Sus scrofa: one gene and its partners. The protein of the gene in region 6 purifies or fractionates together with the protein of the main gene of each other region. This does not show direct contact. Links are inferred from orthologs where the notes say so. Each region holds a gene or a part of one and is shown on either strand. Other genes may lie near its edges.

Region 1 (3,744 bases), on a different chromosome or scaffold from region 6:
TCTGAGGGAATAATTAAACAAGGAACACTTAGCAGGCTAAAGAGAAAATACAGTCCAATAAGATTTTTTTTTTTAATAAACAGTGTATCCTTCAGGGGATTAGAAGAAAGAATTTGTAAACACTGTGGCTTTTGGAGAGATAACCTGGCATAAAATCAAGGCTTCTCTCCCACTACTAGATATTAGCATAGAATTAAAATAGGCTTCTTGAGTTCTAAACAAAATGTTCTTTGTAGTCTAGATGGTACAAAGTTATCTCTTTTCCACCAAATGAGCTTCTAGAGATTAGATAATCAAGACAATTCCATGGCTAGTTAGAAAGTGTTGCACGAGGCAAAAGTGCACCAAAAAGGCCCTATACAGTTGCTTGGATGCTGTGTTTTTTGAAGCTTACTGAATTTGAACTGTTCCTCATACTCCTGCTGCTTCCTGTCCTTCTGTTCCTGTAGCCTTTCATATAGAGAGCGAGGGTCATAAACCTCCTCTGGGCATTCTGAAAGAAAGAGGAAGGGAGAGAAAGGGGGCAGGAGAAAGGGAGGGAGAAGGAAAAAAAAAACCAAAACATATACTTTAGAATACTTTCATATTCTTTTGGAGCCACAAAGGATTTTTAAAGATAAAGTCAAGTCTCTGCACGATCTGATGGCAAAGATAACACAAAAATAGTTCAAAGTCCACAGCTACCCTTTGGACCTCAGAGAGGGGCCAGCAGTTCTCAAAGCCAACTATCAATGTCAATAGGCCCCGGCCTGAGCCGGTTAACTGGATGAGGCACCCACCCAAACCCAACATGGTAGCAACACTCTCAGCTGTTCAGAGCCTGGATCCACCTGTATAGATGGAAGAGACTAGGGGAACCTCCTGGAAGACAGTGTGATAGGTGCAAAGGGCAAGGATGTGAGGATCCTGGGGCAGCTCCCAGCGACGGAGCAACTCTACAGCAGAATTAATGACTTAATGAAGACGTGAATACCTACTTTGCACAGGATTAAAGATCACTATGTTGAATGCCAGACTATAAGCCTATGTACCTTCTGGATCTTCAGGTTTTCGAACTTTCTCCCATTCTTCTTGCCTCCTTTTGCGCCGTTCATCTAGTTCTGCCTCAGATACAAACCTCTTTTTGATAACAAGGTTACCATCATCCCCTCCATCCATAATGGAACAAGAAGTCTACAAAAAACAAACAAAATATTTCAAGTGAGAACTGCAATTAAAATTACATAGAAACAAGAAGATTGAGCTCTGTCTTCCCCCAGCAACAGACTACTCAAATTCCTTTCAACCCTGAACTAAAGCAGTCTTCAAATAATTTACAGGTAATTGATGAAAGCACATGATTACATTTTCCTCGTGTATCAGATGGTTTCATTAACCATCTATGTTATCTTCAAAGTCACCGTGAAAACTTAGAGTAACTCTCATGATAGGCCATTCCAAAGAAACTCTTACATCCCAGATTTTTCTCTGTCCCTTTCATCTAAACAAATTGGCCTCCTGAGCTCCATATCTTTTTCCCAGTTCTTATCCTCCATTATTTCTATAACATCTGACATTGTTCCATCTCGAAATTCCTATTTCAGGGACATGACACTACTTTACTCACCTGTACCTTACTTCCAAGTAGATTCAGAAAGGAGAAACGCAGGTATTCAAGGAGGCTTAGAGATGAGTCTAGTCTGTTCAACAGGGAAGGGATACACCTAGAGGCACTCAAACCACGAGTGGATAAAGTGGAGGCTAGAAGAACCAGATCGCCTAAGTTCAGGTTCAATGTATTCTGCCCTCTGCTAAACCGACACCTCCCTTCATCTCTTCCTGTCCTTCCTCCCTGTAAACTCCCCATCGGTGCCACTTAGTATTCTATCCTCAGTCTTTGTCTTTTTTTTCATTCCTATAATAACCTCAGCCATTTTATGCATATGTTGATGTAGAAGACTCAAATCCCTGACTCTTCCTTTAGAAAGGAGGGGAGGGGAGTTCCCATCGTGGCGCAGTGGTTAACGAATCCAACTAGGAACCATGAGGTTGCGGGTTCGATCCCTGCCCTTGCTCAGTGGGTTAAGGATCCGGCGTTGCCGTGAGCTGTGGCGTAGGTCGCAGACACGGCTCAGATCCCACATTGCTGTGGCTGTGGTGTAGGCCGGCAGATGCAGCTCCAACTGGACCCCTAGCCTGGGAACCTCCATATGCGACGGGAGCAGCACAAGAAAAGACAAAAAGACAAAAAAAAAAAAAAAAAAAAAAGAAAGAAAGAAAGAAAGAAAGGAGGGGAGAAGGAAATAAAGACAGAGGCATGTGTATGTGTATTACTTCTTTTAAACTAAACCTTCCTGCTTTTCTTTGCTGGTTTCTTTCCTTTTGAAGAACTGTGGAATTAACTCTATGTTAATAATAACTCATACATTATGAGCTATTCGTAGAAATAAATCCTAACAAGGAAGCACATATTCTACACTACTCAATGTCTATTCCAAGATGACCCCTAATAACAAAAAAAGAAGCCTCTACTGCTAGCACAAAAATGAATTAATTACCATTTACTCTCTTACTACCTACTAAATACTTTAAATGTATAGTATCTCTTTTATGCTCATACTGACCCTAGATACCATCTCTTTACAGCTGAAGAAATGGAGGTCCAAAAAAGTTAGGTCACTTGTCTAAGGTGATAAAGGTGGTGAATGATGGAGATGAGAATCAAATCCAGGCCTGACAGCAAAAATTCACGCTCTTACCCAGGTGACCATACCCCTCCCTGGAAATCAGGGATCCTGGGTGAAAAGAGTTCAAACTCCAGTGCTGAGAATGTTCATGAAACATTTTTCTCTAGTCAAGACAAAAATGTAAGCTGAGAAAACAAATCCAAACATGCAGAACAAGAAAATAGTCTCAGCTTAAATCCTACTGTAGCTGAAGTCTAGTTCAAGGTAACAGTAAGAGAATTTTTTAATTCACTAGAAAGAAAACCAGATCAACTGACAGAAGCTGTTGCTGCCACCTAAATCCCGCAACCTGGACACTTCTGATTAAGCACTACTCAATGTCTCTAGCCAGAGACCTAGTACAGAAACATAATTGTTTTCGTAATTTTTTGGCTCTGTGACTACGCCAAAAATGCCAAAAATTCAAGTGCTACAGAGTGAACTCTAATGGAAAGAGAGCCAACATTTTCTTAAATGTCTCTGGCAGAAAAAATGTCAACTATGTAGAACTCTAAGGGACAGAAGAGACATACTGGACATTCATGTGCCCTTTCTTAGCTGTAGCTCTCTTTTCTCGTCCTCTATTGGCTGTCTGCTTTCTTCCCCTCACCCTTATTTCCTGGTAAATAATTCAGAACATGACAGGTCCTTATAGCCCACCTAACATGATTCTCCAACTGGCAATGGAACCTACAGTCCATACCCAGGAGATTTTCAACCAATCCTTATTTCAAGATTGATCACTGCCCTCCCTTCCAGGCAGCCAAGCCTCGGAGCAGATCTGACTAGTATAATAGTTCTTAGAATTGACAGAACTGAAATAGACAGAACTGAAATCCATCCCCCTGTAAATTCCACACACAGGTTCGATGCACTGGGACGTACACAAACGGAGCCAAATCCCCTCTTCAGCAGACAATGCTTCAGTTGTTTGAAGACAACTGCCATGTTCCCCCTAATTTGCTCCTTTTCTGGGTCAAACATTACTAGTTCCTTTAATGTTACATAAAATGGAGAAAAAAGCCTCAAAGCAGTGAAA
Region 2 (4,528 bases), on a different chromosome or scaffold from region 6:
CGAAATCTCGGCATCCTCTGAGCAGCTGCCAGGAGGCCCAAGCTAAATAAAGGACTCCTGGAGCGGTGAGGGTGGCAGCCTGCCTGGCATGGGCTTTACAGCTCTAGGAGGGGCTGTACCCAGCTGGGCAGGGCAGAAGCCCCAGCAGTGAGAAGGGGCCACAGGTGTCACTGACACCTTGCCTTATACATAAGGGAACCGAGGCTCCCAGAACCTTGATGCCACATAAGCTCACTGGAAGGGGCCACAAGAAACCAGTACTTATTTGTCTCTGGGCAAGGGAGCCAGGGAGGCAGGGAGCTGGAGCTGGGAGGACTCACCTGTCCCCTCTGGAATCTTGAGGTTCTTTTTTTTTTTACCATGAGTGTGAATGACCTAAACGATGACAAAAACTAAAGTCTCCACAGAACTTATTCCATCCGTGTGCTGTCCTGAGAGTGTTAACACACATTAAATACAAAAGGTGATCCTCACAACAACCCTATGGGGTAGATACTGTGAAGATTCCCTGCTGGGGAAATGAAGGCACAGAGCAATCCAAACTCACTGGGAGGGCTCCCACTGTGGCACGAGACAGGTGGCATCTTGGGAGCACTGTGACTCTGGTTCAATCCCCGACCTGGCACAGTGGGTCAAGGATCTGCCAGTGCCACAGCTGCAGCTTTGGTCACGACTGCGACTCAAATCTGATCTCTGGCCTGGGAACGTCACATGCCATGGGGTGGCCAAAAATGAAAAAAAAAAAAGAAAAGAAAAAGAAAAAACAACTTGCCAGGCAGTAAGTCTGTGATTCTGAAGGAGCCAGGATCTGAACCCAGGTGGGCAGGCCTGCGCTCAGAAGCACTCCAGGCTATTTGTTCTAGAATCCCCTCTTTCCCTCTGGAATGCTTACTCACTTCCTATGATTGACTCGTGGAGGTGGGGGTCTTGCTCCCCCTAGAGTAAAGCACCAGTGTCCTGTGGCAGGGCTGGGATAAGAACCTAGGCTTGCCTGCCACTGAACTTGGTGCTGCTGGAGACACCAGGCTCTCTACCTCCGACCCTCTCCACCGCTGCCCAGGAACTCTCAGTAGCAGGCCAGGAAAGAGTTTTGGCCAGGAGGGAGAAGGGCGTGGTGAGAGGAAGACGAGGTAGGAGAGGGGGCACTAGCCTGCCGCCCAGCAGGACCAGAACATCCACCACACAGTGGCATAGATTGACTATGTGACAGTAATCCATGTTCCTGAGGATAGTCTTCAGAGCTTTGCAGAGATCTTAAATATTTCATGATAAAATGTTACACATGGCAAGAAAGAGAGAAGTGCTAGAACTTTCTTCTTACACTCCAGCGGCTTGCCCAGCAGGGACACTACCCAGGAGACTGCTGCTTTAAGGAATGGGTTGGAACTAGCACTGGGTAGCAGATGTAGGGACTCATGCTGTGTCTTGGCAGGAAGGGGAAGAGCCCTTCTAGGAGTTTCTAGAAAAAGGACTGGGAGCTGATACACGGAAAAATGGGGTGAGGAATTCCTAACTGGAAGGTTCTGAGAGGTATATGCCCTGAGTTTCAAAGTCTCATAGGCACAGGAATGTGGGTGCCGGAGCTCTGATTTTGGGGAGCAGGAGGCTAGAACATTACATCTTAGGAGGGCTATTTTGCTGGCCTGTGAACACTGCTGGGTGGGAGAAGGGCAAGAGAACAGACTTTGGGATCCTGGAGTCTGGATTTGGGGAATAAGTAAAAGTAGGGCAATGAATCTGGAATCAGACTGGGAGGGTTTCTGGTAAAAGCAGGGTCACTCTGGGTGTCTGAGATCAGCAGTCCATGCTAGGGTCAGAAGGAAGAAGGGGTGGGTTTGGGTCCTGGACTTGCATTTGAATGAGGCTTTCCAAAGCTGACTCCTACAGGAAGCCTGTCTTGGGTGGGGGGGAGAGTTTGGTGACTGGGTCTGCAGTACCAAGCAGGGGCAGGGGCTCTAGCTGGGGGGAAGCCACGTGGGTAGGATTTCCTGACATAATGGGAAACTGGGTCTACAGTATGTGAGGCTGAAGGAGAGTGGCCGGAATTGGAAGCTCCATCAAGGGTAGAGCTGGTGGTTCAATCTGAAAGGGAACTAGGTTTCAAAATGCCAGTCCTAGATGGGACTAAGGATACTGATGGGCACTGGTTTAAGTTCCAGGAAAGGGGTCCTGGGTGTGGGCTGGAGTCCCACGCCAGGAACAGAAATCTCAAGGAAGGACAGAATTCCTTGTTGTATTTAGAGGATTTCTGGATCTAAACGGGAATCACCACTGGGACCCAGAAAGGCCGATCGAAGAACAGACTTACAACTTAAAGTACTGGGAACTCTAGGGATTGGGAGGGGCCCATGGGATGTCCAAGATCACAAGGGGGTACTTGAATAGGATCAGGGTCAAGATTCTGAGGTAAGATTCGGAGCGTAAATGGAAGGTCCCAAACGGAACTGGGGGGGAAGCCCAAAGCTTGTCTTGGTAGTTAAACTCTGAAGAAGGTGCCCTAGGGGTGAACTGGGAGTTCCAAGAAGAAATCGGCAGGGGGAGGCTCGGATAGCAGGCAAGGGACTCAAGGGTCCCGGAAGTTCTGGGATCCCGGAGTTGAATCGAAGAACCCTGGGCGCTACTGAAAGTCCAGACTGTAGGGTGGGAATCTCAGGTGTCCATGGCCGGGTTCCTAGCAGTATCTGAAGTCAGAACTCTGAAGCAGAGACCCGGGAGTGGGGGAAGGGGCTGGCCGCGCGCGCTCTACCTGGTGCCTCCAGCGGAAGAGGCTGGCAGTGTCGATATTGGGGTGCGTCTCGTCTTCATCGTCAGACACCTCGATGTGATCCCACACGCTGTAGTCCACCATCTTGCCTTGGCGGCCCAGCCAGCTCCGACTCTGGCGGCGGTAGCGGCAGCACGGAGACTCGGACCGCCGAGCCCCGCCCCTTCCGCTTCCGTCTGGGCGCGCACGCCCCCGCCCGCACGTGACGTCACATCCTTAGTAACCCTGGCAGCGGCCCTGGCGACCGAGTTCTTAAAGAGCCCTGCGCACGTGTCCCAACTCCTGGGATTCTCCCTCAAACCTCATCCCATCCTGCTTCGGGCACTTCCTGGGGGGTATATGAGTGGGTTCTCCAACCTCGAGCCCCGCTAATCTCCTGCCGCCGCATAGTGGGCCTTTACGGCGGCCGTAAGTGAGCAGTTGGCGAGCCTGAGGGAGAGGATTGTCCTCTTAGCCACGCTGCAGTGACGTCAGCCCTAGCCCACTGCTGGGTTCCTTGTGAAGGGGGATTTAGCTGTGTTGGGGAGGTTGTCTGATATGGAAGGACCTTCCCAGTCCGAGGGGTACAGGACCCTGTCCTGGGAGGGTCTAAGTGAAGGAAGGATATGGCCCTGCCCTTGAGGGGTTGGAGGTGATGGGAGTGCTGTGGCTCTGCCTTGGGGCCTGGTGTTTCCCCGGCTCGAACCACAGCCTCCTCCTCGCTTCTGCCACTCCTGAACGGGGATTCGCGCGCCCCCCTTCGGAATCACCCAGACTTCATTTAACTAGTCTCGGGAGCCGATCCACAGCGTCTCCCCGTGCGGCCGCTGGGTGGCACCAATGTCTAACTAGCGGCCAGTGCTTCTGGCCTCACACCAAGTGGGGAATCTTTCCCGGTGGTAGTGCTCTAGGACCGCTAGCAGGCCTTCCCCTTTCGTCTGGGGCCCCTTTTCTGGTCCTGGGCTCTAAGGACTCTTACATTGAGCTTGAGCGACCCCAGCCACACACTTTCATATATCCCTACCCACGCTTTGATACCAGGATAAAAGGCCGCGTTGCAGCCTAGGGCCGGGATTATCTCAGATTAAAGGATGCTCCGATGGCGTGGGGGATGGGAGAAGCTTCAACCACTTGCGTGAAGGGCGCCTCTTCCAGACTCCCCCAGAGTGGGCGTTTGGAGGGAAAAGGCTGGAGAGAAAGGAGTAAAGGTCTCTAAATGGGGGCGCAGGGGGGATGGGAGGGGATTCCCCAGTCGGGGGAAGGGGAGGGGACACGTCCTGACAAAGCTCCTGCCCGCTGCCTCCCCTCCCCCTCACGCTTCATTCAAACCGGCAAGGAGGCGGGCGGGGGCGGGGGAGTCCCCCTCTCCTCCTCCTCCCTCTCCAGCCCCGGCAGTCCAGCATCTCAGCAGCCGTCACGGCCTGGGCTCGCGCGCGCACGGACCCACACCTCAGGTCTGACAATCGCGCGTGCGCGCGCGCGCACACACACACACACACACACACACACACACACACCAGCAAACAACAAAGGGTCTGGACACCCCTGTCCCCTCCCGCCCCCCAGGCCGGAGAGGGCGGGGCATCCCCTCCCCAGTCCCCCTGCAAGGTAAGATTTGGGCTAAAAGCTGCGGTGGGGAGGGGAACCTGGCGCCCAAGAGGGAGGGGGCTAAGACGGAGGGAGTTTTCCTGTCCCCCAGAAAAGTCAGGTACCCCCCATTAAAATCAAAGTCCCCCCTGTACGCCCTCTGAGGGCTTCAGGCCGGCTTCTGGGCTGAAGGTGTGT
Region 3 (3,744 bases), on a different chromosome or scaffold from region 6:
GGGGCAAGGGGAGAGGAAGCTAGGAATATATGGGAACTCTCTATAAGTCCCACTCAATTTTCTCAGATCCTCCAATGTACCTAAAGAATCTCCAAGGAAAAGATAAAATATTGTTTCCAATTTATTTTAATAGGCAACGATTTGTGTAAAGAGCATCTCCAGAGATTAATTTTTTAAGGAACACACTGTGAAAACAGACTGATAGCCCATCCAACAATTCTCTCACACCAACTCAAAATAAGGTTTTTCTAACTTGTCTAAAAACTAACCAAAAAAGGTGCTCATTACTCAATCCTAAGATGAAATAGTCAATAACACTTTACATTTGTAAATGATAAAAATACATAACTACATATATAATACATATATTTAATAATGGCTTATTATTTTATAATGTTTTTATGTTTACCAAGGGATAGGGGTCAAATTCCTGAGCTAGGGACTCAGAACAAATACAAATGTCAGTGTTACATGTAAAAGAAATTTGAACAAGTGGGGGGTAGCAGGCTAGGGGTAGAATTGGGAAGTACAGTACCAGGTAACTTCTAAGGCATCTTACAAGCCTAAGAATTTTTGGCGTTCCCGCTGTGGTGCAGTAGGTTAAGAATTTGACTGCAGTAGCTCAGCTTGCTGCTGAGACATGGGTTTAATCCCAGGCCTAGGAACTTTAATATGCCTCAGGTATAGCCATTAAAAAAAAAAAAAAAAAAAAAAAAAAAAGCCTATGATTGTATCTAAAGGATGATAAGCTTCTCAAAGAAAGAGCTAAGTTAAGCATGATATCATAGTAGCATAAAATATTAAAACTATACAGGATTCTAGAGACTGGCTAGTCAAATGTTCTTAGACAGCTCATTTTTATTGTCCTGGGTGTGTACCCACCTTCATGAAAGGAACTCATGCTTTCTCCTGCTCCCATCCAACTCTTCTTCACTTATGGAGATATTCTGTTTCACGATTTAACTTTTGGGTTATGAATCATTAACCTACCCACTCTTCTTACCTCATTTTACAGAGAAGGGAAGTTACGTGTTAGGTAACAAGATTAAGCAGTGATGGGGAAGAGCAGCAGAAGAAAGGGACTGCCCTTCAGAAGCACTGACCTGGTGGCTAGCCTGAATAAGTCATCCACGGTGTCAGGGTGATTCTGAAGACCATTCTGCTGTTCTAAGAGCTGAAAGGTGGGGATACACAGTGCCTAAAACAGAAGTTATTTAAAAATAAATGCCTGTAAATAAATGCCACAGGATTGAGACTTGCTAAATAGCATAACATACAAAGAGAAGGGAAGCACAGATAAGAAAAGAAAAAGACTTCAATGAGAATCAGGAGTTCCCGTCGTGGTACAATGGTTAACGAATCCGACTAGGAACCATGAGGTTGCGGGTTCGATCCCTGGCCTTGCTCAGTGGGTTAAGGATCTAGCGTTGCCGTGAGCTGTGGTGTGGGTCGCAGACGCGGCTTGGATCCCGAGTTGCTGAGGCTCTGGCGTAGGCCAGCAATTACAGCTCCGATTCGACTCCCAGCCTGGGAACCTCCATATGCCGCAAGAGTGGCCCAAGAAATAGCAAAAAGACCAAAAAAAAAAAAAAAAAAAAAAAACTTCAATGAGAATCAGATCAAGAAAGGGAAGACAGGGGTTCCTTTGTGGTGCAACGGGTTAAAGTTCCAGTGTTGTCACTAGCGGCTCAGGTCTGATCCCTGGCTCAGCAACTTCCAGATGCCATGGGCGCAGCCAAAAAAAAAAAAAGAAAGAAAAGAAAGGAAGGAAGGATGTAAGCCTTTCTTAGTTGGCACAGTCTTCACATAGAACATTTCAGAAAGGGTTGAGGTATAGATTTTAGCTGATGAAACTGGATAGATATCACCTCAAAGTTTTAGAAGTTATTAAAAGTGAAGACAATGCTTATGCATTAGATATGGTCTGGTCCACTAAGGGAGAAGATGAAGTTTTAATAACAATAATGAAATGTCAGTTTTAAAAGGAAAGACATCTTGGGAAAAGCAGCATATGATTTAATCCCCTAACGTATTTTCTCCACTATGACTAGGAGGGAGGGAAAAGAAGCAGATCAGGAGCCTTTCCTACTTCCTGCTACTTATCTTAAGACCATATCCCTGCTATGTAAACCAGTTAATTGGGGGTTCCAGGCAAGAAATTAAAAACAGAATCATACTTGAGCTTTCAAATCCTTTAATTTAAATCCACTTGCCGGGAGTTCCCGTTATGGCTAAGTGGTAATGAACCTGACTAGTATTTATGAAGATGTGGGTTTGATCCCTGGCCTTGCTCAGTGGGTTAAGGATCTGGTAATGCTATGGCTGTGGTGTACGCTGACAGCTGCACCTCTGATTTGACCCCTAGCCTGGGAACTTCATATCCTGCAGCTACGGCCCTAAAAAGGAAAAAAAAAAAAAAAAAAAAAAAAATCCATTTGCCTACCTTCCCAAAAAACCCTATTTCTGGAAGGCATAAATTAGGCTGTAATAACTGCAAGGAATAGCACATTTCTGTGGTCAATCTCTCTCTCATTTTACCAAGCAAGCCTGTCTACTGTCCAGAGAACCACTAGGTAGTTCTACTTTCATGTTATTAGGAAATCATCATGACTGGGAGAGAAACATAAAGAAGCAACAGAATTAACAACATAATGTACACACCGAAAGTGGCACAACATTGTAAATTAACTATACTTTAATCAAAGAAAAGAATTTTTTTAAAAAGACATGGTGAAGAACACAATGCCTGGCCTTTAGACCCTCCAAGCCCAACACATCTATATTCCCCACAGAAAACACACCTGGAGCATGTCTAGTAGTCCCTGCCGACAGCCCTCTTCCATGCCATATTCATCCACAAGGATACTACCAAGGTACAGGAAACAGGAATGCTGATGTACATGGTAAACATTCACCATCTGCCAAGGGAAAAACCAGTTAGTTCAATTTTTCAGCCCTCAAAAAGAATCAGCTTAGCTAGCTGTCTAGAGGAAGATATTCTGAGATAGATAGGCAACATTTTTTAAAAACATAGGCTTCAATTCCTCAATAATTTCAAGTACTCTATTTAGAGTTCTTTTAAGCCTTTGACCTTTTATCTTTCCAAAACAATGCAGTAAGAATTGTATAATACTTCAAGCTAGAACCATTAAAGTGTTCATATCCAAAGCTTGTATAATATTTGTTAAAACCCTAACATAGAACATCTAAATTTTCTAGCCTACAGGTTGCTCTTATTTGCATTAAAGATTATTCTTTTTTTTTCTTTTTGTCTTTCTAGGGCCACACCCTTGGCACATGGAGGTTCCCAGGCCAGGGGTCGAATCAGAGCTGTAGCCGCCAGCCTAAGCCACAGCCGCAGCCACGTGGGACCCGAGCCGCGTCTGCGACCTACACCACAGCCCACGGCAACACCGGATCCTTAACCCACTGAGCAAGGCCAGGGATTGAACCCGTAACCTCATGGTTCCCAGTGAGATTTGTTAACCACTGAGCCACAATGGGAACTACTAAAGATAATTCTTACTGCTTTTGGCTGAACCTGTGGCATCCAGAAGTCCCAGGGTCAGGGATCGAAACTGCACCATGGCAGTGACCCGAGCCACAACAGTCACAATGTAGATCCTTAACCTCCAGGGCACCAGGGAATTCCAGATAATTCTTTTCTTTAAAGAACCAAAGCAGGGACAAATGATCAAATATCATCTTAGAGGAGACTGTGAAAGCTTTATTAAATTTTGAGTT
Region 4 (4,258 bases), on a different chromosome or scaffold from region 6:
ATCTCTGAGTCCATACTAAATTCAAGTGACAACATTCAAACTCCCCAAACTTTGCACTTGGTGGTAAACTGGCAAAGAATAAAATTCTACAATTCTAAATTATCTTGCCAAAATGTGACAGAAAGGCAAAGACAGTGATAGTCATCTAGAACTCACCAGAAAAGGTGCACAGAAAAATTTCCAGTGCTACAAGATCTGTTTAAAGCAACAGCATCTGTGCACTTTGTTTGGAAACCTACTCTGGATTTGTTTTCAAGTGTACTCCATAGCGTCATCTCATTTATCACTTAAAACCTTAAAAGGAGGCCACAGTTAATTCTGAATAGCCTGACCTTGAACAATGTTTCAAATACTCTATATACAGAAGCATCTTTTCTCTCCAATTTTTTTTTTTTTTTTGTCTTTTTGCCATTTTCTTGGGCCGCTCTCGCATATGGAGGGTCCCAGGCTAGGGGTCGAATCGGAGCTGTAGCCACCGGCCTACGCCAGAGCCTCAGCAACGCGGGATCCGAGCCGCGTCTGCAACCTACACCACAGCTCACGGCAACCGGATCGTTAACCCACTGAGCAAGGGAAGGGATCGAACCCGAAACCTCATGGTTCCTAGTCGGGTTCATTAACCACTGCGCCACGACGGGAACTCCTCTCCAATAATTTTAAATCAAGTAACATCACTAATGAAAATCAATCTACATTTTCCCCTACATTAAAACATCCATGAAAAAATAGTACTTTTAAGTATTTTTAAGTAAGTGATTTTCAGAAATGTTAGCACAATTAATAGAAAGTTCTAACATTCTGTAATTATCTAAAAGGTTTTTATTACCAACACCGTATTTACCCACAATACTAGGATGTCTGAATTTAAAAAAACCAACATTTACCTGGCTGACACAATATAGTAGGAATTGGGTATTCCAACTTAAAAGCAATAAATAAAATACATGTAGTATCTTCAAAGAATTACCAAGCAACCAAAAGCAGGTCTCCACTAAAGCAACAGAAAAGAGAATCATTTTACTTGGAAAAAAAAAAAAAATAGAGGTTTTCTCGATTTTTTCAGGTGACCACATTCATACTCTGCTCTCCAGTTTTCAAAAACTGTCAAGGCCCTGCAAATCCTGTTTAAGACTGCTGAAATCCTGTGGCTGACAAACACAAAACTTAATTGTCCATATTATCTATTTTCAATTTTACTAAGTGACCTTCAAATTACCTCCTCTTAAAAGTATTTGAGGGTTTTAGTTGTCACCCGTCTCTTTAAAAACTACCAATAAACCCCACACATCCTGCAGCTTACTCATGTTTTATGGTGCTCCCTAAAAACAAAACCAAACCCACCACCTTTTCCAGAGATCATGTCCCAGGGAAACGGCTAATATGAACTACTTCAAACTTCCCTGGACTTGCATAATATCTTCAAACACCTTGAGATCTTGTGTAGTGCTGCAGCTATACAGCAGGCGCCTGATCACAAGGCTTTTCGACAGCCCCCAGATCCCTTACTGCTGCTGCAAAACTTCTCATTTAGCGTTCTATGCATTAGACTGTTAACAGTGTTGGCTGAACTGCTTTACCTGTTTATTTACCAACCCAATCTTCCCGGGGAATTCAAACCATTTCAAACTGCCTTTTGAAACCAAACTAGAATATCCCCGTGTTGCTGAGAAAGATCTGCAGCGGGATAAAAACTTGAGTTCGGTTGTTCATCCCCAGACCCAAACTGCTGTTGCTGGGATATGCGGTAGTAATGCAGTGGTTTCTTTGAGACTCTGAGGATGTCTTTTACCCTAGAAAGAGCCCATCTCTACCAAATGCCCTTTAGTCGCAGAGATTTCTGCGGTAACAATGCTCAACAGGAAGGTATTCGAAACAGCCGAAAGACGTGTTGTTCTCATTTGGCCTTTATTTTTTCCTCCATAACGCCTGCCATGGCAAGGACATTTTTCCAGACAACATTTGCAACTTTGGAAAGAAAAATCAAGCCTTTGATACTAGTCATCATCTGCTTGTAAAGTCCGTTATCATGACGCTTCTTACAAATCGCTCAAGGTAGGATTTGGGGCTAAGCTTACATCGACCATCTTCCAAGCTGTTTTGCAAGGCCAATTAACGGCCTAATGACAACAACAACATTTCGCCCAGGAAAATCTCATTGTGTGACTAACCAAGAAGGCATCTGATAAATAAAGCCCCTTTTTTCCGGGCAAGGAAATGATAAAATAGACAATGAAAGGGATTTATTTGTTACAGTGAGGAAAGAGGGAGAAGAACCCCAAGAAGAGCCGTACGAGCAAAATCCAGGGGTTCGGGAGCCCTGGTTTCAGCAACACTCGCCCCAAGCCCTCTGACCCCCACCCCACCCCCCCTTTGCCTCTGGGAGCCAACCTAGCGCCCGCACACGCCCGGCACACCCGAGGGCAGCACAGCCCCCCACTCAGCCGCCAGGCTGGGGCTCCCAAAGCCGCAGCCGGAACAGACCGAGGCCGCAAACCCTGCCGCCTGAATTAAGAGGTAAGAATACGAGCTGAGAGGAGATGCGGCCTCGCCTCAAGCTTAGGAGGCCCCTGGAGGAATCGGACGCGGGAGAAAAGGGAGCCGGTTCGGAAGCCGGAGCAGAACGGGGGGGTGGGGGTGGAGAGCTGGGAGCAGGGGATGAGGAGGTTCTGGCGCGGCCAGCGCCTTCCCCGGATCCTCGGCGACGCCCGTGTTTACCTGAAAGTCTCGGTCCTCGTTGAAGCGGGAGAAGCGGTCCGCCATTTTGCCGCCTTCACTCCTCTCAGGACGACGCTCTACGGTTCGCTCCGTCCCTCCCGCGACACCCGCCCCCTCGCTCCCCTCCCCTGTTCCCCGCCTCCTCCCACGCCCACCCGCGCGCGCAGGCGAGGGAGGGAGGGAGCGAGATTGCGCGTCCCGACCCGAGCCCCGCTGGCGCAGGCGCCCTTCTGCCCCAGGGGCGGAACCTCCCCTCACGTCCCCGCTCCGCGCGCGACCCAGAGCGACCCCCGGCGGCCGCGCGTGCGCACTCGCAGCGGAGGCCTGCATGCGCTTCCGGAGAGAAAGGTCAAGAGGGGGCGCCGCTCGCTTGGGTGCGGATGTTTTCCACCTGCTCGTTTCTCCCAGTAGGGAGATGTCTTCTTGCCCTCTTGCTTGCCTAGGAACGCAGAAGCCCATCCTCTGCTTTCTTCACCAAATAAGAGCATAATGTAGTGGCTGAAAGCGCGGATTTTGGACCCAGACTATTAGGTTCGAATCCCGGTTCACTCTGAGGATTGAGTGGCGAACGAGACAGGAAAGATCTCTTCTCTCATAGTGCTTACAGGGAAAACCAGATAAATAATAAAATAATTACATAATTTTAAAAATTAACGAGTGCTACCAAAAAACCAAAAAGGCAACAAGAGCAAAAAACCAGACTGGTCATGAGAAGAACGCCCTCTGAAAAGACCTTTGACCAAGGAACAGAAAGGGGCCCGGCAGCCTTGGAGCACTCAAAGGGCCAATGACTACTAATAACGTGACATTTTCTAACGATCATTAGAGAGAAGTATTTCCCAAGAGACCAAAGTCTATTCAAATCAACTACAGCCCTCTGGGCTTCAGCTTCCATTTAAAAAAAAAAAAAAGGAAATTGAATTCAGTAATCTCTACTGCCCCTGCCTAGCACTGACTTTGTATGAGTTATGAATCAGATTTTTCCATCTTTTGACCTTCCTGAGCACCCCACCCAGCCCTCCAGCTCCCTTAGCCAAAATACATAAAACCATAAGAAAGACAGCTGGACTTGCCTGCTTTTCCAAAGAGTAGCTGATGGAAATCCCACGGTGGAAAAATGACTCTTTCTCTACCTGAGAATCAAAATGAAGGTAATTTTTTGGAAAGAATGTGTGTATCTTCTATTCTTTTGTCACACTTTGCCTCACCCAACTCCTAGTCCAAGAATATAGTTCTAAGCAGTGAAAAGAGCTGCCTCTTTGTATAAGGAGAGGCAGAACACTCAGAATTTAAACATTGTGAAATGACTTGTGCATAAATGTGGCAACCTGAATCCCATGGATACACAAAACACATTTACCTCTTCTCCTCTTAACCCCACTAAAATGACATTTAAAGGATAAAGTCATAGGGAGTTCCCATTGTGGTTCAGTGGGTTAAGAACCCAGCTAGTATCCATGAGGATGTGAGTTCGATCCCTGGCCTTGCTCAATGGGTTAAGGATCCAGCGTTGCTGTGAGCTATGGTGTAGGTTGCAGACCTG
Region 5 (4,275 bases), about 20 Mb from region 6:
AGGGTCCTTTGTTCTTTGGAGTTCAACAGCTGGACAAAGAAGTGCTACAAGACTGCACACCAGGGCTGCCGAGGGAGGTCTGCGGGTCGGAGGTATCCCTCTCCCAAGCATTCCAGGGGCGGACAAAGTGGGCCACGAAGGGAGTTGAGGGAGTTGCTGGGCATCCACAAGGTCACGGCGCAGGGAGCGGTCATTCTCTCCCGGAGGGGCTGTGGGGCGGGTGAGCTCCAGAGATGAGGCCTTGGAAAGGCGAGGACAGCGTACCCGCCCCGAAGGCAAGCAAAAGCGGCAGGGCCAGGCGAGGCAGCTGGGCCGGCGCTTGGCTTGGGGGCTCCGGCGCCGCAGCAGCTGAAGGGGAACAACCTGGTTCTGCCCGCCAGGAGCGAGCAGCCCTTTGGCCAGCATGAAGGCGCTGGTGTCTTCATGCCACCTCCTAGAACCCCCGCCACCCAGCGGGGGTCCCTGGAGATCCTCCCCTCCCCAGACCTAGACAGTTGCAGGAGGGGAAAGAATTTTTGTAAAAAGAAAAGGAAACCAGATTGTATGTGCATGCCCCTGCGTGCGACACGCGTGGGCGGCTGCAGAGGCTGGGGAGGGTTTCTCAGGTAGCGACGCCACCCTCAGTCTCGGCTCCGAAGGCGGTTCTCGCAGAGCCGCCCCAATAACCCGTGTGCTGTGTGACTGACGGGGGAGAAAGGGGGGATCATCCCTGTTCCACCCCACCCTGGACGCAATGCTGAGCGAGCTGGGTCTGGCGGGTGGCGAAGAGGGTGCCGGGTGTAGTTGCCCGCCAGCAACATAGGATCGAAGTTGCCCACCTCTCCCGGAGATTCAAGCATAACGTTGGAGAGGCGGAGCCGCCGCAGAGGCACAGCCCAGTCCGCAGAAAAAGGGGTGGAGCCCCAAGGGAAGAGGGCGGGGCGGGGCGGGACAGGACCGTAGAGGCGGATCTGGAAACTGCTGGAAGATCGCAGCACCGCCACTGTCGCTCCTTCCGCCGCTTGCAGACAAAGAGTGCCCTCCACACCCGAGCCGGCGACCTTCTAGCAGCGGAAGCCACGCCCCGCAGCGAGACGCTGGCACTGCCCATTGTCCCCTGGGAGTGCCAGGGTTCGCGGGCTGCCCAAAGTTCGGCTTCAAATTCCCCAGTGTCCCCGGAAAGGACCCTTTCCCCTTATTGGGCAGTAGGAATGTGTAAGGAAGATTGTAGCAGGGAGGGAGCATAGGTGGGAGTAGTTGGTCCCCTTTCAGGTGTTCCTCTGGGATTCTTTGGTGTGGAGGCACCTGCTCTACAGGTTTTTACTGAGGTCAGCGGGGATTCTGTTCCCTAGAGCCACGGCATTTGTCCTATGAGTATACCCAACATCTAGCTCTGGTGGTGTCCTGTCTTCAGGACGCGGAGATGGGACTAAGAAAAAGTCTACACATGCGCGCCCTTGCTCTTCACCGCCCCCTCCCCTATTTTGGACCATGACGTAAAGGTGGGCGGGCAGCGGCAGGTGCGGGGCTGACAGACAGCCTCCTTTAAGGCGGAGGGATCTGGGGGCGGGCAGCGAAGGTGTGCTTCGCCTTATATAAAGCGACTGGGGTCTCACAGCCGTTCTCTTGAGTCACCCCCCGCGCAGCCTTGTTCTGGCGTGAGAGCCGGAGGCAGTCCTTCCCCGCTCAGCTTTGTGGTGTTTGTGATCCTTATCCTTTAAGGTAAGGTTGCACTCTTAAGGCATTTCTGGTTAAATTTCAGGTTGCTTTCGTCCATTCTGTCCTTTCTGAGACCCAAGTTTTTGTCGTGCTGGGGCGGTTTGCTGGACAACGCTCCCAATTTTTTTAGAGGGTGGGTGGAAGGGAGCTCTCGAGTTTAGCTTTTCCTTCCATGCTTGGTGTCGGGCCTTCTAGGCGGCTGTTAGGCCTGGGCGAGTGGGGCTGGGGGACTGGGCGGCTACACGTGGTAGCCGCGCCGGCCCGGGACGCTGCCATGTTTGCCCCTCTACTTCCGGACGCGACTACGGGGCGCCAGAGGGTGGGCAAGGTTGGTGGGTGTGCGGGCCCGGTGTGACTCAGCACAGCATGGTTCTGGGTAGGTTTTGCCATCTCTTTTATAGAAGGGAGTTTTTCTAGTCCTTAGTGTGAGGGTTTGCGGCAAAGGATGCTTTGGAGCTCCAGTGGCCCATCGTGCTTCCTGCTTCGAGCTCATTCCTGCAGTCAGGGTGGAGGGGTAGCGGAGGAGGCAGGCTTGAGAATTTATGGGAGCATTTCTTCGTCGTCCTCTTTTCTCCCCGTTGGCTGGAATTGTTCTGGAAGGTTCTGGAACTCGGCGCCCCGCCCTGGTGCCCGGATGCTGAGGCGAAGGGAGGCTGCGCGGTGGCGCCCCCTCCTCGCGTGGTCCTGGCCGACGCATGTCCGGCATCGACGAGCGTCGGCCCCGCGGACTACGCCACCATCTTAGTTGTATTTGGTTTGGTCCTGTACCTCAGTCACGTGTGCTACAGGGACAGAGTGGAGCCTTTTGCTTTATCGGTTCTTTGTCTTAATGGCATCCCAAGTGGGTATCCCACGATTCTCTCGCGTTAGCCTCCCTTACCACGTGAGGTAGCAATTTCACATCTTCCTGGAGGTGAAGGGAGAGCAGTTTCAAATGATAGCCCCTTTAAGGTAAAACTGGTCTGTTTGGGGGGGGGGCTCCCTCCCCTCCACCAGAAATGGTAGAACCGTAGTTACTAATTTGTACATTTGAATATGTATGTAGGTCTTCTGCTTATTCACATTTAAGAAACCGGGGTTGGGCGAGGTACTCTGCATGCCTAAGAGATTACCAGGTGATGAGAGGCTGCTGATCCGTGGATGGATCGCCTAACATCCTAACAAAATGCTTAAGAGACCTTAAGGCATTTTGGGGGCTGTATTAGCAGCCCCCCCCCCCCCCGCCCCTCTTATTCTCAGACTGAGGGCGCAGCCTGAAGTCTTTAAAGGAAAGGTCTTGCATCTCAGTACTCGGTTCAGAACAACTTGAACTGAACCTCTTAGTGTCTTTATTGTAATTGGGGTGAACTTGAGTCCAAAGTTCTTCATCTCTCTTATTTTAGATGCCTGAGGAAGTGCACCATGGCGAGGAGGAAGTGGAGACTTTTGCCTTCCAGGCAGAAATCGCCCAGCTCATGTCTCTCATCATCAATACCTTTTATTCCAACAAGGAGATTTTTCTTCGGGAGTTGATCAGTAATGCTTCTGATGTGAGTTCCCTGAGCGTCTTCATTGGCATTTGTTTGTTTCTCGAGTACTTCAAAGAAGGAGAGGGGTGATTGGGCATTTTGTGGGTTTTATTTTTGAAGGGAATATAAACTTCAATTCTAAAAAGGTTTTGCCTTGCTTTATGTGGATAGATGGCGTACTCTAACTGGATGTACGTCTCAAGCTTCAAATGAAAGGGGTTATCAGAAATGAGGTTATCTGGGAGTAGGAAAAAACTTTTTCTATTGGATGAGGTGGAAGCAGAATTGTAAAACTGCAATTTGTATTTTCAGGCCTTGGACAAGATTCGCTATGAGAGCCTGACAGACCCTTCCAAATTGGACAGTGGTAAAGAGCTGAAAATTGACATCATCCCCAACCCCCAGGAGCGCACCCTGACTCTGGTAGACACAGGCATTGGCATGACCAAAGCTGATCTCATAAATAATTTGGGAACCATTGCCAAGTCTGGTACTAAAGCATTTATGGAGGCTCTTCAGGTATGTGGTATTTCAGCTAGGCATGCACCATTCATATTCATTGATGTTTAGTTTGCTGTTTCTTCAAAACTTGTGTTTGACTTTTTAAAACTTTTTGGTAGGCTGGTGCAGACATCTCCATGATTGGACAGTTTGGTGTTGGCTTCTATTCTGCCTACCTGGTGGCAGAGAAAGTGGTTGTGATCACAAAGCACAATGATGATGAACAGTATGCCTGGGAGTCTTCTGCTGGGGGCTCCTTCACAGTTCGTGCTGACCATGGTAGGCTGATTTTCCTGTTGGGTGTCGGGGATAGAATTCTGAGGGAACAGTGGTAAAGATCTTGAGCATTCTAATGGTGAGACATTGGTCTTTGTTGTTCAGCACTTAGTTTTCTTTTTCACTCCGTTTTGATTGACTTTCTAGGTGAGCCCATTGGCCGAGGTACCAAGGTCATTCTGCATCTTAAGGAGGACCAGACAGAATACTTAGAAGAGAGACGGGTGAAAGAGGTGGTAAAGAAGCACTCACAGTTCATAGGTTATCCCATCACACTTTATGTGAGTATGAA
Region 6 (4,255 bases):
AGACTCCTGTGCTCAGTTCCCTCCTGCCTGTCTGTAGGGTCCTAGGAAGTGCCTTTTCTGTCAAGCCAGAGGCCAGAGTCAAAAGGCTGCTGGCAGGAGTCAACACACAGGAGCAAAGGGTGAAAGTCCTCAAGTTTGAAAAGCCAAGTTGTCTGGCTGAGGCTCTGGAACTGGACCCTACACAAGGGAGCAAGGACCACAATTTAGTGTGAGGAGCCACTGGCAGAAACGAGAAGACCAGCCCTTGGAGAAAGAGGTACACGGGGCCCCACAAACATCCCTTGGGGTCTGGCCAAGCAGATATGGGGGTCTCTCCAGCCCTTCATGGTCTCTATTCAGTCTCAGCATCAATAAAGTCCTCAGAGCAACCAAGTTTCTTGCCTGAAACCTATTTAGCACCCTCAGACCACCTGCCACTGGTGCCATGCCAGGCAGTGCCTCACCTCTATCCCACTACTGTCCCCACTTCTATATTCTGAATTTCAGGAGGAACTAGAGGATCGGCTGTCTGGCAGGCTGTGTGCTTGGGAAAGCAGGCCAAAGGGGCCCCACCTCCCTATCCCTGGTTCAGTGTGGACTTACAGCCACCACAGGAAATTGCCATCTTGGATCAGCCATCAAACGAGAAAGATGGGTATGTGAGGCCAGCTCCCTGTTCCACCCACAATCCAAACCCTGACACTGCCTCCATAGGAAGGCTGGGCCTGAGCAATCCTTCCAGATAAATACTTTGTAACACCTCCTCAAGAGCTCAGACTGCTGCTCTCTTTTGGTGATCAGCTGACTAATGTTCACTGTTTCTCCCCAGTTAGGCTGGGTCACGTGACCAAGCTGTGGGATGAAGACGGTATCTCACATCTGTGTCACTAAGTGACATGGAAGATGCTTCAGTGGCCAGGGCAAAGGGCTTGCCCATCCTCACTGGGCAAAGCACCAGAGCTGGAAGTCACGGGGTCTAGTCCGTATCAGGCTAGACTCCTTCCTGGGACCTAGAAGATTCTTAGTGCACACATGTTCATGTTAGTGGAAAGAGCACAGCTTCAGTCACGCTGATGTCAACATGAATGCTGACATGGCCACTTCTAGCTTGTGCCTTTAGGCAGGTTATTAAACACCTCTACCCTTCAGCTTCCTCTTGCAACAAAGGAACAGTAATCACTTACAGGGTTTATGTCACATCTTAAAGTAACATGCCTAGTACATGCCCTTGGGTCAAATGCCTAGCATGGGTCACAAGAGATACTGAAGGCAGCTTTTCATTAAAAAGTTTCCAAGTAACACCTCTGGGTCTATGTTAAATGCCTTAAAAGCATTAAAGGTAGTTCATAAGTCCCAAGGGAGCAGAGGGGAGAGAGGTATAGGTAGAAAACCCTATACCTAAAGTAAATCCCAGTGCTGCCACTTGGCCTTGTGACCTTATACAAGTCACTCTGGGCCATGGTTACAATATCTGGAAAATGGAGATATGACCACCTCCCAGCCAAGTTGGCAAAGGGAATGACAAATATGAGAGATATAAAGTATCACACGCAAGGCAATCAGAGAGGACATAATCTCCCCTGTTTTAACACATTCTAGGCAGGTGAAATAATGGTAACACCAGATGCCCCTCATAATCCTCCCAGCTAGGGTTCTAGGGCCCATTTCTCCTCAATTATCTCTGATTCTCTGAGACCCCAGCAAACAGGTTGTAAAAGAAAAACAAGGGCCACAATTACGTTCCAGAAGGCTCTGCTTGGCACAATTAAGAAAAAGGTAATGTGAAAGAAACCAGGGCGAGGATGCCAGCTTTTCTCTGAGCACAGGCCTAGCTGTCTTCTCATTTGCTGTTCCTGGCCAGAGAACTGGGTTGACAAGAGCAGCCAGCCAAGTCAGCGGCAGCCCTGCCGGATCCCAGCCACCCCAGCGCCCCATGGTTATTTTTGGCTGACGCTGCCCCAACACTGCAACCTCAAACCTGCCACCTTGCAAGCCGCCACCACCGGGAGAAACGCTCCTCCTTTTCAAGGGCATGGAGGAGGGAAGCTGGAAGGCCGCCAACTCCGCCTCAACGGGGCCCTGGCTCAGGCGATTCCCACCCCAGCTCCACACCAGGACACCCGCACCCGGAACTAAAGCACAGAGACTCCTGGACCATGCAGCAGCCCGGGCATTTGTACTGTCAGCTTGGCTCGGCCCCTCCTCCGGGCTGGAGCGGCTCCATCATCACAACAAAACAATCAGGGGGCCCGCAGCCCTCGCTCGCGTCCTTCCTGACGCCGCGGGTCCCAGAGATCTGAGGCGGGTTCCTGGTAACCGCCGCCAATGGAGGCGAGGGGAGACCTGGGGTGGGGGAGGCGGGCAGGAGGAAAGCCAGCTTGGGCCGGAATCAGACTCCAAGCCGCGCGGAGAGGAGGAGTCTGCCGACCCAGCCTCGAGCCAGGGTTAGGGGAGGGGTCTGAAAGCCCCTCCAGGCTGTCGCAGGTAGGACCCTGACCCCATTCCGCGGGCAGGTATAGGGCCGAAGGTGGATCCCTGCAGGGCCCTCAGGGGCCTCTCACAGGTTCGGACTCGGACGCACAGGATCGAGAGACTGGGGTCTGCTGTGACCGCCCTCTGGGGGAGAAGCGGCAGGTCAGGGGTGAGAGGTCGGGGCCGCGGCCTGAGATGGGCCAAGAGAACGAAAGAGAGCAGACCAAGCCCGAACTAGAAGCCCGGGGACCCACACCCAGCGTACCCGCCCCTCTGACTCAACCCCCCGCTCCTCGTCGCGGGCCAGGGCCCCACACTCACCGTCTCCCAGGCTCCGGCTGAGGCTAGGCCCCACTCCCCGCTCCGAGCGCCTCTTCCGCTTCCGGCTCCGGCCTCCGCCCGTGGCGGGCCCGCCCCTCCCGTGACGCAGCCGTCGGTCGACTGAGCTCGGCGACTTGGCCCCTCTAGCCGTGAACTCGAAGACTCTGGAGGACCCGCCCTGTCCACCTGGGTCGCTGCGGCGGCGGTGGAACCTGGTTCCTGGAGGGCCGAGGGGATGTCCCCAGCCGCGGCCCGCCCCCTGCCGTGTCACGAGGCACGTAGGCCTCAAAGATGCGGCGGGGGGCACCGGTGGACAGGCGCTGAGAGCCGAAAGGTGGAGCCCCGACCCCGCCCAAGCCCGCTTGGCCTTTCCTTTCCTGAGCGCCGGGAGGAGGGCATTGTTTCGCTGTCGCCTCAAGTGAAAACTGGGTAGGCCTTGAGCGCCAGCCCGGCCTCGAGGCCCTGGAGGGCGCTAAAGCCCACGGAGGATCGGGAAGGAGGTTCCCGACTCCCGCTGATGTGAAAGAAGCAAATGAGACCTTATTCATGTGTGGAGGAGCTTTTTAAAGTCATGGCGGCGCGTCCAAGCCCGGTGTATGTGCACTGCAGTTTCTGGGAAGATACTGGAGAGTCACGTCGGCGGGGCCTTTGAAGGGAAAGGGACGGGTTCTGGGGTAAAAGGGGGTCTCGTTTTCCTTGAGCATTCTTGGGCACGGCAGTGAGCAGACCAGAGTTGTTTCTTAGTTCATAACCACCCGCGTCCCACCCCCGCCGAAGAAAAGCCCCGCGGCCCCCCTCACTCCTATTTCTCCCCTGGAGTCACCTGGTGACCTCTCTGCCCCCGCCGCCGGCGCGGGCTCACCGAAGCCCCGGCCACCTACTGCCCCGCTCTTGGTCATAGGGAGATAAGGAGGTCATCTTTTCCAGATGAGAAAACCGAGGTCAGGTCCTTTGGGAGACCTCGCGGTTTATGAGCGTGCACTCCCTGGCCCCCCCCCCCCCCCGGCTCTCGCTGGCGTCGGTCAAAGAGGGCGGGAGCGGCCTCTAATTGCCCCCTAGCCACGCCAGGGCCCAAGAAGGAGGGACACAGCATCCTTCCGGGCCCCGCCCCTCCCGGGGACTGAACTGCGAAGGCTGCAGCATTTCCCCAGCACCGCGTGGGCCTGCTTGTCACCACCCCTTTCCCCAGCCCCGGCCCCGCCTCCGCCCTCGCCGCAGCGAGGGCTGGTCACGCCCCTGACATCCGGCTAGTCTCCCAGCCACTGAGGCGGATTCCAAAAGGAAACGACCCCTCCGGAGTTGCGAGGCCTCTACAGTCTCTAACCTCTAGTTCCCCCTTAAACTGGGGTCTGACGGCATGGCTTGAGCAGGTGCTTAGTACAAATCTCCGTTAGTTCCACCACTCCCACTGCAAGTAAACAACCAAAGCCAAGTTCAAACGGGTTGCTTACTACACTAATGCAGCCTCAAGACCGACTCCCGG
Region 7 (4,348 bases), on a different chromosome or scaffold from region 6:
TGTGATGTGTAGCCACCTCCAACCTCTCCCTTGGTAGTTCACATTAAGTCCAACCCTCCCTGTTAAATGGAAAATTACGGAGTTCCAGTCCTGGCACAGTGGAAACAATCCAACTAGGACCCATGAGGTTGTGAGTTCAATCCCTGGCCTTGCTCAGTGGGTTAAAGGATCTGGCGTTGCCATGAGCTGTGGTGTAGGTCGAAGATGCGGCTCAGACCTGGCATTGCTGTGACTGTGGTGTAGGCCAGCAGCAACAGCTCTGATCAGACCCCTAGCCCGGGAACCTCCATATGCCGTGAGTGCAGCCCTATAAAGACAAAAAAAGAGGAAAGGAAAATTAGGTTTAGAGTACTAGACAATGTCTGGAGAGCTTAGGAATGCTAATGCTAGGAAATAAAATCAGATCCTGCTTGCTGGACAGGAGAGCACCAGATCCATCCTGCTTCTCAGGGCTGCAAGCCAGGAAGGGTTGGGGTAGGGGACAGTGAAGGTGGCTCTTACCTTGGAAGGCCTCTTCACATTCATCCAACCTTCGCTTCTTGTAAGTGGGCTAAGGATACAAAGAGACAAGAATCAGCCTATTCGACACTCACATCCCCACTGCAAGTTACCCTTCTAGCAAGTTTAATCCCTACCTTGACTTCACAGGTTGTCTTATTAATTTACCCACAATTCACTAAGCACACACAAAGCTTTAAGAAAAGGTTCTTCCCACAAAGCAACTTACACTATAGTTGGAAAGACCAACTTTTCAAGAAATATAACACATTAGGCAACCAGGGGAGGGGTGGATACTATGAACAACAGAAAGAATGAACTACTGAATGCAGAGTGAGTATAACTAAGGGGATTATAAACAAATGTGCTTGTTCCACAAAGAATATTCAATCAACAAACATGTATTTAGCACTTGCAAGGAACAATGCTAGGTGCTGGGGATACAAAGATAATTCAGATAGTTTCTCCTTTCCAAAAGTGCAAGTTCTACCCATGAGACACCGACGGATAAATAACAATATATATAGCAGATAAATAACAATATGGGGTCATCATTGTTATAACAGAATGTGGACATATTCTAAAGACTAGTTGCTAAAGATACAGAAAGACGGGGAACTGCAGTTATATAGCAAGAACAATTGCCCCCTCCCATAACAAGACTCAAGACACTGAAACAGGGATGAAAAGTCTTGCCTAGAGCCATGGTGACAGACCAGGTAACCTGAGGGACCTTGTCACTATTAGCCCTATTTTCAACTCACTCTAACAGAGTACCCATTAACACATGCTACAAATGAAAACCGGGGACCGAAGGGGGTGTACCAAAGTCATATGTCTGTAAGAATCCTCATTCCGGGAGTTCCCGTCGTGGCGCAGTGGTTAACGAATCCGACTAGGAACCATGAGGTTGCGGGTTCGATCCCTGCCCTTGCTCAGTGGGTTAACGATCCGGCGTTGCCATGAGCTGTGGTGTAGGCTGCAGACGCGGCTTGGATCTCGCGTTGCTGTGGCTCTGGTGTAGGCCGGTGGCTACAGCTCTGATTCAACCCCTAGCCTGGGAACCTCCATATGCCGCGGGAGCGGCCCAAAGCAATAGCAAAAAGCCAAAAAAAAAAAAAAAAGAATCCTCATTCCCAGATCCAAATCCCACTGTCCCCTGTACCCCTGTACACGTTCAAGCTGACCAGAGACTTGAGGACAGAGCGCCTACTGCTTCGGCACACACACAGAGATAAATACAGGATACTTACACCGTCCAGTCCATCATGGCTATTGGTGAGAAGAATGGGGTCAGGGACTGGGAGATTCATGTCTGAGTGGATCTGAGTTAGGTCATGGATGTTTAGGATTGGCTCCTGAAAAGAGACGCCCACCCCCAAAACATCAGTCTTTTCAAAATGAACAAAGAAGTATTTCATTTCAAGGGCAACATATGAAGACGGCTTTACAGCACAAAACAAGATAGAATCAACACGTCATTTGTCCCATTTGACAGAAAGACCAGGGCCAAAAAAACTGGGGACTCTGAGGAAAAGAAAAGGGTCTCTCACCTTCAAAAAACTATCAAGTTCTAACAATTTCTTTGGGAAAAAATTTGCCACCAAGTCTTCTGCCTAAAGATGAGGGAAAATATAGCTGAATTAGTAACTGAGGGAAGGTCTGTCTCTACAGACATCTCTTCTCTGGAGAACTCCCAACCATTAACCAATGCTCGATTTTCTACTTCTTTCACTCACCTCACTTGTAATCCGCTCCCTGAAAGAATCAACCTAAAATTAACAAAGAAAGCAATTCAGTAAGAGCAAGTCAGTACCTGGCAAGAGAAGTATGGGCAGGATGGGGAAACCCAAATCCAACTGTCTTTCCCTCACCTTGTAATTGTAATGAGAAGCTGAGAGGCCCCCAGACTGCAAATACTTTATTTTTTTAAGGATCCATTTCTCCATCTCAGGAGAGGGAAGCGGGGCTGGAGGGCAGCACCCACCTGTCTTCCCTCCCTCCCTCCCTTTGTCTGTAGCTTGTCTGAATTTGAAAGCAGACAAAAGACAGGTAGATGGGAGAGGCGTGAGCTCACAAACATGTCAACCCCCATACAAACCTGGCCTAGGATGTGAGGCAGGCCTGACGCCAAGGGCAGGGGCAGTAGCAGCGCCCAGAGATGGGGACGTTGCTGGGCTGGGGGGACTTCCAGCTGTCACTGGCCTAAAGCACTAAGTCCACCACGTGTCCGCGGAAGTCTCCCCGGGGCTCTCCACCATTAGACAGGGTACAGAAGGCCACCCCATAGTAGCGTCTCCCCCGATGCCATCTCTGGGAGTGGGGGGCTGGGCTGAGCCGAGCGGAAGCTCAGGGCTGGTGTCCCCAGGGAGACAAAGACGCCATGGGGAGTAGGGAGCCAGTCAGACAGCTCGAGGATCGAAGCAAGGAGTAAGGAAGCCCGGACCGTACCCCTACCTTGAGCTTTACTTCCTGATCCACCTTCAGCAACGAGGCCATGGCCGGGCCGGGCCGTGTCCGCTCCGCTGGAGACCGGAGGCGCTGTGGGCTCCGGGGAGAGGGTCAGAGGGACGGGAGGAATCTCGGCTGCTCTCGGGACGCGGCCGCTCTCGCTGGCCCACTCACTGCTCACTTGCTCCCTCCCTTCGTGCCGTCCGTCCGCCCGCCTGCTGCCTGCTGCCTGCTCTCTCTCGCTCGCCCTCCCGGCTTTCGCCGCTCACACCGGAAGTTACGTCACAGCCAATCGCCGGGACTCCGAGAGGATGTGCACGTGCCCTGCGCAGCCGCGCTGAGGTTCGGCTCTGAACGATGGTAGCTCTGCTCCTATCTCTCGGCTCCTGTGCCCGATAAGGGTGAAGTAAAAGGGAGGGCAGCAGAGGGTGGTGGAGTGAGATCGGAGTCTCAGAGAGACTCGAGGACCGTTTGCCTCTCTGTTATTCCGGCACTCACCTTCACCGAAGGGACCGTCGGAGGCGCTGCTGCCTGGAGTGGGGGACCCGACAGAAGACGCCGTCGCGCCCCGGTGACGTCGGCCCGAGGAAGCCGGTGGTACCCGCGCTGGGTTCGGGGCGTCTAGTCTCTGATTCCTGCTGTCTCCTCCTCTTGGTCCAAGCTCTCATGTTAGGTTGGAGCCTGATAGGAAACAAGTCCTGTTGTACCAGGCTTCCCCGCCTTTCTCTGCCATTTAGCCGCTTACTCCTAGACCTCAGAGATCAAGTGCCAGATGTATGGACAAATTGATGCCTGTAGTCTGGCGGTGCTTGTCCTAGGCTACACAGTGTTTACAGTATATCCAAGTCCAGAACTCACATCTCCTAACTTCTAGGGCAATGCTGTATCCATTTTCCTCGTGGAAGGCGGAGACTGTATTCCCCCCTACCCGACTTTTTGTCGCCCAGCCCCGCCCCCCACCCACCGGAGGCAGGTGGAAGTTCCTGGGCCTGGGATTGAACCCTGGAGACCGCAGGGAATGGAGCCTCTGTAGTAACAAGGCCAGATACTTAACCAGTTGCACACAGTGGGAACTCCCCAGGCTGTCTGTCTTAATTCACCCATTCATCTGTCTTATAGCATTGGTTATTTCGCACAACAAATCGGAGTAGGCTCTGGGACAGCAGTGTCTCAGAGGCTAGAAATATAATGTGAGTCACTTATGTAAGTTAAATCTTGTGAACTGGAGTTTCGCATTTACGGTTACTTGCCATCTGCCTCTACGTGGATTAAACCATGAGCCATGGCAGCTGCTGACCTGCAGAACCCACTAAGCAGAGCTCAGGGTGGAAACCAGGAGTGAGGCACTCTGTGCTATGGGAAAACTGGAAGAATAGGTCTTTCGGATAGTTAGATCTTT

Evidence for each region.
Region 1: the proteins of CLK3 (region 6) and FAM192A purify together in Homo sapiens (affinity purification with mass spectrometry; 3 studies listed by BioGRID and IntAct, counting the BioPlex papers as one, with this or other methods). This does not show direct contact. The link is inferred for Sus scrofa from reciprocal best matches to the Homo sapiens genes CLK3 and PSME3IP1.
Region 2: the proteins of CLK3 (region 6) and CDC37 purify together in Homo sapiens (affinity purification with mass spectrometry; 4 studies listed by BioGRID and IntAct, counting the BioPlex papers as one, with this or other methods). This does not show direct contact. The link is inferred for Sus scrofa from reciprocal best matches to the Homo sapiens genes CLK3 and CDC37.
Region 3: the proteins of CLK3 (region 6) and TNPO3 purify together in Homo sapiens (affinity purification with mass spectrometry; 4 studies listed by BioGRID and IntAct, counting the BioPlex papers as one, with this or other methods). This does not show direct contact. The link is inferred for Sus scrofa from reciprocal best matches to the Homo sapiens genes CLK3 and TNPO3.
Region 4: the proteins of CLK3 (region 6) and GPATCH8 purify together in Homo sapiens (affinity purification with mass spectrometry; 3 studies listed by BioGRID and IntAct, counting the BioPlex papers as one, with this or other methods). This does not show direct contact. The link is inferred for Sus scrofa from reciprocal best matches to the Homo sapiens genes CLK3 and GPATCH8.
Region 5: the proteins of CLK3 (region 6) and HSP90AB1 purify together in Homo sapiens (affinity purification with mass spectrometry; 3 studies listed by BioGRID and IntAct, with this or other methods). This does not show direct contact. The link is inferred for Sus scrofa from reciprocal best matches to the Homo sapiens genes CLK3 and HSP90AB1.
Region 7: the proteins of CLK3 (region 6) and PSME3 purify together in Homo sapiens (affinity purification with mass spectrometry; 5 studies listed by BioGRID and IntAct, counting the BioPlex papers as one, with this or other methods). This does not show direct contact. The link is inferred for Sus scrofa from reciprocal best matches to the Homo sapiens genes CLK3 and PSME3.

Annotation. Positions count from the first base shown.
Region 1 is NC_010448.4:19,140,726-19,144,469, forward strand, and holds part of FAM192A (protein FAM192A), read right to left. Parts: intron 1,741-3,744; exon of another isoform or gene 1,607-1,740; intron 1,174-1,606; 5' UTR 1,159-1,173; coding exon 1,032-1,158; intron 494-1,031; coding exon 395-493; intron 2-394; coding exon 1-1. UniProt on the Homo sapiens protein: Promotes the association of the proteasome activator complex subunit PSME3 with the 20S proteasome and regulates its activity.
Region 2 is NC_010444.4:69,209,968-69,214,495, forward strand, and holds the start of CDC37 (hsp90 co-chaperone Cdc37), read right to left. Parts: upstream 2,943-4,528; 5' UTR 2,849-2,942; coding exon 2,747-2,848; intron 1-2,746. UniProt on the Homo sapiens protein: Co-chaperone that binds to numerous kinases and promotes their interaction with the Hsp90 complex, resulting in stabilization and promotion of their activity. Inhibits HSP90AA1 ATPase activity.
Region 3 is NC_010460.4:19,648,890-19,652,633, reverse strand, and holds part of TNPO3 (transportin-3), read right to left. Parts: intron 2,919-3,744; coding exon 2,802-2,918; intron 1,199-2,801; coding exon 1,104-1,198; intron 1-1,103. UniProt on the Homo sapiens protein: Importin, which transports target proteins into the nucleus. Specifically mediates the nuclear import of splicing factor serine/arginine (SR) proteins, such as RBM4, SFRS1 and SFRS2, by recognizing phosphorylated SR domains.
Region 4 is NC_010454.4:18,775,121-18,779,378, reverse strand, and holds the start of GPATCH8 (G patch domain-containing protein 8), read right to left. Parts: upstream 2,876-4,258; 5' UTR 2,761-2,875; coding exon 2,716-2,760; intron 1-2,715.
Region 5 is NC_010449.5:39,242,315-39,246,589, forward strand, and holds the start of HSP90AB1 (heat shock protein HSP 90-beta), read left to right. Parts: upstream 1-1,459; 5' UTR 1,460-1,701; intron 1,702-3,080; coding exon 3,081-3,227; intron 3,228-3,518; coding exon 3,519-3,725; intron 3,726-3,826; coding exon 3,827-3,986; intron 3,987-4,130; coding exon 4,131-4,264; intron 4,265-4,275. UniProt on the Homo sapiens protein: Molecular chaperone that promotes the maturation, structural maintenance and proper regulation of specific target proteins involved for instance in cell cycle control and signal transduction. Undergoes a functional cycle linked to its ATPase activity.
Region 6 is NC_010449.5:58,906,739-58,910,993, forward strand, and holds the start of CLK3 (dual specificity protein kinase CLK3), read right to left. Parts: upstream 2,879-4,255; 5' UTR 2,773-2,878; intron 1-2,772. UniProt on the Homo sapiens protein: Dual specificity kinase acting on both serine/threonine and tyrosine-containing substrates. Phosphorylates serine- and arginine-rich (SR) proteins of the spliceosomal complex.
Region 7 is NC_010454.4:20,032,349-20,036,696, forward strand, and holds the start of PSME3 (proteasome activator complex subunit 3), read right to left. Parts: upstream 2,999-4,348; 5' UTR 2,998-2,998; coding exon 2,956-2,997; intron 2,463-2,955; exon of another isoform or gene 2,448-2,462; coding exon of another isoform or gene 2,373-2,447; intron 2,271-2,372; coding exon 2,238-2,270; intron 2,115-2,237; coding exon 2,052-2,114; intron 1,857-2,051; coding exon 1,752-1,856; intron 551-1,751; coding exon 502-550; intron 1-501. UniProt on the Homo sapiens protein: Subunit of the 11S REG-gamma (also called PA28-gamma) proteasome regulator, a doughnut-shaped homoheptamer which associates with the proteasome. 11S REG-gamma activates the trypsin-like catalytic subunit of the proteasome but inhibits the chymotrypsin-like and postglutamyl-preferring (PGPH) subunits.